Linked DNA regions of Cricetulus griseus. The protein of the gene in region 1 interacts with the protein of each later gene in a pairwise test. Links are inferred from orthologs where the notes say so. Each region holds a gene or a part of one and is shown in the gene's direction. Other genes may lie near its edges.

What was found.
Region 2: the proteins of Xrn1 (region 1) and Zfp36 interact in a two-hybrid assay, tested with the Homo sapiens proteins (2 studies listed by BioGRID). The link is inferred for Cricetulus griseus from reciprocal best matches to the Homo sapiens genes XRN1 and ZFP36.

What each region holds. Positions count from the first base shown.
Region 1 is NC_048597.1:204,593,424-204,597,714, forward strand, and holds the start of Xrn1 (5'-3' exoribonuclease 1), read left to right. Parts: upstream 1-1,376; 5' UTR 1,377-1,485; coding exon 1,486-1,560; intron 1,561-4,291. UniProt on the Homo sapiens protein: Major 5'-3' exoribonuclease involved in mRNA decay. Required for the 5'-3'-processing of the G4 tetraplex-containing DNA and RNA substrates. The kinetic of hydrolysis is faster for G4 RNA tetraplex than for G4 DNA tetraplex and monomeric RNA tetraplex.
Region 2 is NC_048602.1:7,508,801-7,513,181, forward strand, and holds Zfp36 (mRNA decay activator protein ZFP36), read left to right. Parts: upstream 1-1,363; 5' UTR 1,364-1,449; coding exon 1,450-1,473; intron 1,474-2,150; coding exon 2,151-3,095; 3' UTR 3,096-3,866; downstream 3,867-4,381. Other genes in the region: putative uncharacterized protein FLJ46214, read left to right, coding at 991-1,363. UniProt on the Homo sapiens protein: Zinc-finger RNA-binding protein that destabilizes several cytoplasmic AU-rich element (ARE)-containing mRNA transcripts by promoting their poly(A) tail removal or deadenylation, and hence provide a mechanism for attenuating protein synthesis.

The sequences.
Region 1 (4,291 bases):
AGAGGCAGGTGGATCTCTGTGAGTTTGAACTAATCTGGTCTACACAGTGAGGACTGCCAGGACTACATAGGCTCAACAAAAGAATAAAACAGTTTTGTTGTGGTAGTTTGTAGACATAAAGAAGAGAAAGTGCCTGAGAATGAATCTATTCTATACAGTCCTTGCATGGAGACCGAAGTCACATAAATGGAAAGTTCTTGACTAAAGATGGATACTGTCCAAATCCTAATCATGGAAGATAGGTAGTACCAAAGGAAAGAATCAGTAACTTCACAAGTACTTGCTGTAATGAAAGTCACATAATGATAGAGACCTGTACAGAGATGTTCATGGTGGCTTTTGTCCTGTTTGGTTGATTCAAATTCTCATGTAGTACAGACTAGTCTGGAACTTGTCATGTAGATGAAGATGACCTTGAACTCCTGAGCCTCCTGCCTGCACCCTTCAAGTGCTGAGATTAAGACTTGCATACCACACTAGGCTTTTTGAGTTTTTGGTTTGAGAAAGGCTTTCATATTGCCCAGGATCTCCCTGAACTTGCTATTTGCCTGAGAATGGCCTTAACTGATCCTCCTATGCCTCCTAAATTTATAGGTGTGCAAGGCCACGCCAGGTTTTTGGGGTTTTATTGGTTTTTTGGTTTTGAAACAGGGCAGCAAAAATTGGAAGGGAGGGGAGTAACCCCCAATCTTGAAACGTACATTACTCAGAAAATAACTCCCCTCACAAACGAACCAGATCTCTTCCAGTCCGTGTTGAAAAATAGTTTAGCGATCCCAGGAGGAGATGCCGGCAGTACAAAATCCACTGTCCAATACCATCTCTTACTTAGGGCTTCTATTGCTGTGATAAACATCATGGCCAAAAGCAACTTGGGAAGGAAAGGGTTTATGTGGCTTACACTTCCGCATCACATCATCACAGTAACTTGTGGCAGGAATCAAGCCACGAAGGAACGCTGCTTTCTGACTTGTTCGCTCAGTCGGCTTTCTCATACACCCCAGGACCACCTGCCCAGGGTGGCACCAGCCCACAGTGACCTGGGCCCTCCACATCGATCATTAATCAAAATATTCCCAAAGGCCAATCTGGAGGCAGCATTTCTCTCAGAGGTTCCTCTTCCCAATGACTCCACCATGTGTCAAGTTGCCATAAAACTAACCAATCCATTCTCCCTACTGCCCTTTAACTTTTTTCATACCGTCTGCAAGTCCACACCTCTACTAATTGGCACTTTCAAAACTGAGCTTCCCACAACAATCACGCCTCTTGCGCCTCCCACCAACGAGTACGGAAAAGCAGCGAGGTAGACAGGACGCCCCGCCCACTGGCACCGTCCTGCCCCTCTAGGCCCGCAGCTTGCTCTATGGTCTGGCGGACCTTGTGTTGTCATCCTCCGAGCGACGGCCGGAGGTGGTGGCGTAGGCCCGGGCGGGGCGTTTGGTTTCGTTTCTGCACCGACTGGAATTAGTGTCGACGGTCAAAATGGGAGTCCCCAAGTTTTACCGATGGATCTCGGAGCGGTATCCCTGCCTCAGCGAAGTGGTGAAGGAGCATCAGGTGGGTGAGCACAGGCCGCGGCCCGCTCGGCGCTGTGGGACCAGGGCCTGCCTTACAGCTGCCAGCGGTGCTGTAAGCAGCCGGACAGGAGAAGGATGGGGAGGACAGAGGCTTGGCGGCCTCCCGGTGAGCACACCGGGTAGAGGCAGGCAAGATCAGTGCGGCCGCGCCAGGTGCTTGCGGCAGGTCTGAGCTCCCCCTGGGAGAGCTTTCCGCGACTTCCAAAGGAGCCCTTAGTGAGGAGGCTTTTAGTGAGCCCTGTGCCCTCCTGGGAGCTGCCCTGGCTTCGCCTTTGGCTGCAAGGCTGAGAGGGATGCCTTCCCGGGTGTCTCGTCCCACGCAAAGCAATAGACCTGTGTACAAGCACTAGCAAACGTTCCTGCGGTGGAATCGCCTAGTATTCCAGCTGTAAAGAGCTGCATCTAACCCCGACCCCTGAACCCATTGATGTAGCCAGTGATTCGTATTTGTGATACCTTTTGATACTCTTTTTAGCTCCCAAACAGTACCCATCCCCCCATTGTCTAAACGAACAAAACGTTTAGATTGGTCGCAGGGATGGGGAGGGGGGTTGATGGTGCTTAGTGCCTTTGATATGGAGAAAAAGCTCGAAACATTATCACTAATAGTTGTTGTATAATGACCCCACAGCAGCGATGATGTGAGTTCTAAAAGTGTGTATTTGTATATCTATGTATTGTAATATATTTGCATGTTTAAATAGCAGAAAGAGAGAAACCAAATGTTCTGATAGGTAAGCTAGGCTTAGAATGATAATTTAGTATGTCACATTGAATGACTTAGATAACGACTTTGGTTTACAGAAAAAAAAGAACTCGTTTTTGAAACTTGTATAGTTAATTGAATTATTTGTGATACGTAGCACTGTGTTAATAATGGGAGCTGTCAATTGTGTGGGGTTTTGTTTTGTTTGTTAAGGTACTTGGAAGTATAATTATGAAGTCTAGTCTCTGGAAAGGATTTTCTTGATATTAAGTTCTAATGAAACAGCATATATAGTGTTATATATATTATGATTTCTATTAAAGCTTGATTGAGGATTCAGAAAAGCAAAGTCAGCCTCAAGCTATAGAGATTAGCCAGAAGCTAGGAGGTGGTGGTACATACCTTTAATTCTAGGACCCAGGATTAAGAGGTAGACAGATCTCTGTGAGTCCAAAGCAACCCAGATCTACACAAGATTCACTCTACTCAAGATACACAATCTTGTGTATAGTTCTCTTTTAGCCTGCTAAAAGAGAATTATAACTCACACCTTTAATTCCAACACTAGAGGGGTATAAAAGACAGGATCAAGGATTCAATGTGAGTCTTAGTGAGAACTCATGGAGACAGGATCATCGCATTCAGTCTGAGGTAGAATTAAGAAGCTAGTGGCTTGCTGCTTTGGTTTTTTTTTTTGTTTTGTTTTGATATTCAACTTGAAGGTTGAACCCTAATACCAGTCTCTGGGTCATTTATTTTTCATGTTGCAGGCATATGAAAAAAAAAAAAAGCTCATAAAAAGTTCCAAAGTGCTAAATTGTCATTCATTTATTTTAAATATAGGTTGAGTTAGATTTAGAGGGCATTTATATCCAGGGACAAGAGTGAAAATGGAGACAATTAAGTTGTATTTCTATTGCTGGACCTTTGATCAATAAATATTTGATAGCATCTAATGTGTTCAGTAACATTTATATTCTGTGCTCTTCAGCCACAATAGTTTATTTGGTTAAAATATCTTGGATTCTCTATCCTGAGGAATTTTGTTGCAAAAACAAAACTGTCATTAAAAGGAACATTATGACATGGACAGCAAGATAGATTTTGTGAAAGTTTCTTAGTAGATTGAAATTGAAAGTAAGGACTGCTTTAATTTTACACTGTAAGTGAACTGTAAGACCTGGTGCATCAGCACAGCACGGCATGGTGTCCTACTTCTTTAATCCTAGCACTCTGGAGGCAGGAGCTTGCAGATCTCTGAGTTTGAGGCCAGCCAGAGTTACATAGTGAGACCCTAACTCAAAATAAATAAATAGGGGACTGAGAGGTGGTGTGGTAATTAAGAGCTTTGATTACGAGGACCTCAGTTTGATTCTGGCACCCACAACTGTTTGTAACTCCAGTTGCAGAGCATGATACACACACATATATGCAGGCAAAACACACACACATGAATAAATAAATGCTTGGTGTATCAAGGTAATGCCTTCCACAAATATTTTATTAAAAAGAGATCAAAAAAGGGTGACTAAGAAAGAAGGATCGAAGTTGGGATTCCCAACATCCACTAAAAGCTGGGGGGGGGCATGGGCATTGCCCAATTAGATAGCAGTCTTTAACCTGTAACACTAGCACCGGAGAACAGGGACAGGTGGATACTGAGGGCTCGTTGGCCAGCCAATCCAACTGAATTAGTGAGCTTCAGGTTCACTGAGAGATCCTGTCTCAAAAAATAAAGAAGCGATTAAGGAAAACCCCAGAGTTGACCTCTGGCCTGCTGTGTGGGTGGCAAGGTGAGCAGGAGAGTACATGGAGGGGCGGGATGGAGAGGAATAGGTTTGGGGACCAGAGAGAGGCTTAGTATCAGCACAGTCTTTGAATCCTCACATGAAAATAAAAAGGGAAACTAGATAGCAAAGTTTAAAGTCCATAAAACAATTATAACAAGCCATGTGATACAGTATCCCCATGTTACTTGTTCAAAATACTACTAGATGGTGTCAAA
Region 2 (4,381 bases), on another chromosome or scaffold:
CGAGCCTTCTTTATCCCCCCCTCCCCCACCTTAGTGGTTTCTCTTTTTAGAAATCGGACCTGGAACTCGATCAATACTGAGACTGGCACTGAACGCCTGATTTCATCTCCCCCCACCTCTGAAATGCCGTGATGACAGCCATATGCTACTGGCTGGTTTGTGGGACTTTAGGTTGTTTGTTTTTTGAGACAGAGTTTTCTCTGTGTAGCTTTGGAGCCTGTCCTGGAACTTGCTCTTGTAGACCAGGCTGGCCTTGAACTCAGAGATCCGCCTGCCTCTGCCTCCCAAGTGCTGCGATTAAAGGCGTGCGCTAACACCCCCGGCAGCGCAGGCGTTGTTTTTAAACTTGGTTTTCTGTGTAGCCATGGCTGTTCTGGAATTCACTCTGGAGACCAGGCTGGCCTCGAACTCAACAGATCCGCCTGCCTCTGTCTCAGAGTGCTGGGATCAAACTGGTTTTAATGGCCACTGTGCCAACCACCGCCTGGCCCTTTTTTATTTTTAGTTTGTTTTTTCGAGGCAGGGTTCCTCTGCGTAGTCTTGGATGAACTGGAACTCGCTTTGTAGACCAGGCTGGCCTGGAACTCAGAGATGCGCCTGCCCCTGCCACCTAAGTGCTGGGATTAAAGGCGAGCCACACTATCCTCTGGCTAACCCCCTTTTTTTTTAAGTTTTTCGAGACAGGGTTTCTCTGTAGCTTTGGAGCCTATCCTGGCACTCGCTCTGCAGACCAGGCTGGCCTCGAACTTACAGAGATCCACCTGCCTCTGCCTCCCGAGTGCTGGGACTAAAGGCGTGCGCCACCAACGCCGGGGGCCCCCGTTTTACTTCTTAAGACAAAGGTCCCACCATGTTACCCAGGGGGCCCTAGAACTCCCTCTATAGTAATTTTTGCAGCCTCCTGCCTCAGCCTCCCCGAGTGGCTGTCCTAACTTGCGTACGTCTGTCTCTGTTTTCCTCCCGGCCTCTGGCCATCTCCGTCTCTTGCAGATGTCTCTCCCCGCCCCGCCCCGGTGTGTCTCACACGCCCACGCCCTCCCGGGTCCCTGCCCTTGTCAATTGTCCCCGGGGCCCTGCCCCCACTCCTCCTACCCCAGCTCCCTTCCCGATCGTCGCCAACCTTCCAAAACTACTCCGACGCCCCGCTAACCATCAGGGTGACAAAGCCCCGGCTACACCGCCCCGAGACGGGCCGGGGCTGCCCGCGAGCCGAGTTGGGGCACATTCAAGCAAAGTAACGAGCCAGCCGAGGGGCGGAAGGGGCCGAGTCCCCCGGTGGGCTGGGCTGACCCCGCGGGGGCGCGTCCGGGAAGCGCCCTTGGCCACGCCCCCGCCACGCCCCCCAGGCCGCAAGCTCTTATAAAGAAGGAAAGCTCGCGCCGCCGGCCACAGCCAGACTTGTGCGGCCCGAGCCACGGTCTCCTCCTCTCCACGGCCGTTCGCGCCACCATGGACCTCTCTGCCATCTACGAGGTGAGTGCTGCCCGCACGGCACTCCCGAGTCCTCCGGAGCCCCAGCCCTGCCCTGCCCTGCCCTACCCTGACCTGCCCGGCTCGGCTCCGGGTGGTGAGCCAGGGGCGCCCACGAGCCCGGAGCCCGGCGCCTGCCGGCCCCGGGGACCGAGAGCTGGCGCGCTGGTGTCACTGGCGCGGGGCGGAAGTGGCCCCGCACCTGCCCGGTCCCCTCGCCCGCCTCGCGCGCCGTTTGTCGCCCCAGCTAGTGTAGGGTAGGGCTGGGGGGAGTTGGAGAGAGAGAGAGAGAGAGAGAGAGAGATCTGGTCTGGGTCGGCTTTGACCGGTCCCTCCTCCAAGTTTGTGAAACTGGAGCGCCCATGGGCGGTCATATCCGGGGAGGTCTAGAGGCCCGAAGTTGGGGCGCAGTTGTGTCCTCTGATTTGGGGGTGCCGTGTCTGGCTCAGTCGGGGACACCGGGCTTCCTGGGTCCTCCTGGCTCAGCTTCGGAGGCGTGGAAACCCTCAGATCCCCCACCATCAGGTTCTCCCCCGGACTTGGTGTGATCCGGGTGGGGCTCAGCACCCAGAACCCACAAACCGGAATGGCAAGCTTGTGAAGTTATTTACAAACCGGGGCGGGCGGGGCGTCGTCACCTCACCTTTTCTGGTGGCCTAACCGAACCCTGTTCCTCTCAGAGCCTCCTGTCGTTGGGCCCAGACCTGTCATCCGACCACGGAGGGACCGACCCCTCGGTCTTTTGGAGCATAAACTCGTCTGACTCCATCCCAGCCGGGGTCACTTCCCGCCTGACCGGCCGCTCCACCAGCCTGGTGGAGGGCCGAAGCTGCGGTTGGGTGCCCCCACCCCCGGGTTTTGCACCCTTGGCTCCCCGCCCGGGCCCTGAACTGTCACCCTCACCGACTTCGCCTACTGCGACTCCCACCACCACCACCACCACCGCCTCCCGGTACAAGACCGAGCTCTGTCGGACCTACTCGGAGAGCGGGCGTTGTCGATACGGGGCCAAGTGCCAGTTTGCCCACGGCCTGGGTGAATTGCGCCAGGCCAATCGACACCCCAAGTACAAAACGGAACTCTGCCACAAGTTCTACCTCCAGGGCCGCTGTCCCTATGGCTCTCGATGCCACTTCATCCACAACCCCAACGAAGACCTGGCTGCCCCGGGCCAGCCCCATGTGCTTCGACAAAGCATCAGCTTCTCGGGCTTGCCCTCTGGCCGCAGAACCTCGCCGCCGCCACCAGGCTTTCCTGGCCCTTCCCTGTCCTCATGTTCCTTTTCACCCTCTAGCTCCCCACCACCACCCGGGGACCTTCCACTTTCCCCTTCTGCCTTCTCTGCTGCCCCTGGGACCCCTGTGACTCGAAGAGACCCCGTTCCAGCCTGCTGCCCCTCCTGCCGAAGGTCAACCCCTAACACCATCTGGGGGCCCTTGGGTGGCCTGGCTCGGAGCCCATCTGCACACTCCCTGGGATCCGATCCAGATGACTATGCCAGCAGCGGCAGCAGCCTGGGTGGGTCAGACTCACCCGTCTTTGAAGCTGGGGTGTTTGGGCCTCCCCCACCCACTGCACCCCCAAGGCGTCTCCCCATCTTCAATCGCATCTCTGTTTCTGAGTGACAAATGCCTAACTAGTGTGGGTCAGCTAGATCTCAAGAGGGTTGCTTATTGTTGTGGGGACCTAGGGGGGGACTCCTAAATCCCTAAGTGCCTCCCTGACATTCCAAAATGCATTAACCCACTCCCCTGGTGCTGTGCTGGGGCAGGTCCCTAGTTTGCAAATTCAGTGTTTGGGTGTATTGGTTCATGAGGTACCTAAAATGTAGCATTTTTGTGGGGGACAGTTGACAGTTGGTCTTCCAGGCCCAACTCTTTTGGGTTGCTTCTGAGATAGGGCTTAGTATAGAGCCCAGGCTGTCTTTGAACTTGAGATAATCCTTCCTTAGATTCCTAAGTTTTGGTGTTATATAGGCATGCACCAGCCCCCTCCCCAACTCTGGTCTCCTGGAATCTTAAGTGCTGTGAAGAGCTGGCTCCCACAACCCCATCCCAGTTTTTACTAGACCCGGAGTTTCAGTGTCTGGTGGTTGAAGCCTCCCCTGACGGAGAATCCTGGTGCTCAAATTTCCCTCCGAAAGCAAATAGCCAAAGCCATTGCCAAATCCCTTCTCCAACCAGTGGGCCCTTTATTTATGACGACTTTTATTTATTGTAATAAGATTTTATAGTATTTATATATATTGGGTCGTCTACTTCGTGTTTTCTTTTTGTAATATTAAAATGGATACTGTATTAAGTATACTATAATATATTAAGTAATATATTGCTACCTTACAGGTCTATTTTTGTGGTTTTATGGAATTTTTAAATAAAATCCCAAGTGCGAACTGAGATGGAATTGCTTTATTTTCACGGGCCACAGCTGTGGGATGGTGGGCAAACTGACCTCCAGCCTCGCCGGGCAGCCTCTGGGCGCTTACCTGGCAGGAAGTGACGCTCCCCTCCGGTTGGTTCACCTGAGGGGGCGTGGTGAGGTGAGGTCACCCAGCAGAAACCAGGAGAGCTAGTTCTGGCGTTGGGGGCGCTCCAGGCCTGTCCCTCCGGCTCTTGACCCAGCTCGGGCAGGGACGGGATGTTTCCGTCCCCATGAGGCCAAGGGTGGAGGGAGGGGAGGGGCGGGGCGGGGAGGACGGAATGTGCCGGAACGCGAGCCGGGGCGGCCAGGGGCAGGGGGTCACCCCGAAGCCGGTCTTAGGGGGACCCTGCGCCCGGCGTAGAGAGCAGGGGTGCAATTCAAATCCCCGACAGAAGACTTGTTTAGGTTCTGAAACTAAGTCACCTCGTGCTGAGCTCAGCCTGTGACGTGGTGGGGTAGCCAGCGCGTAGCCCTTGTGCGAGTTGTGCGA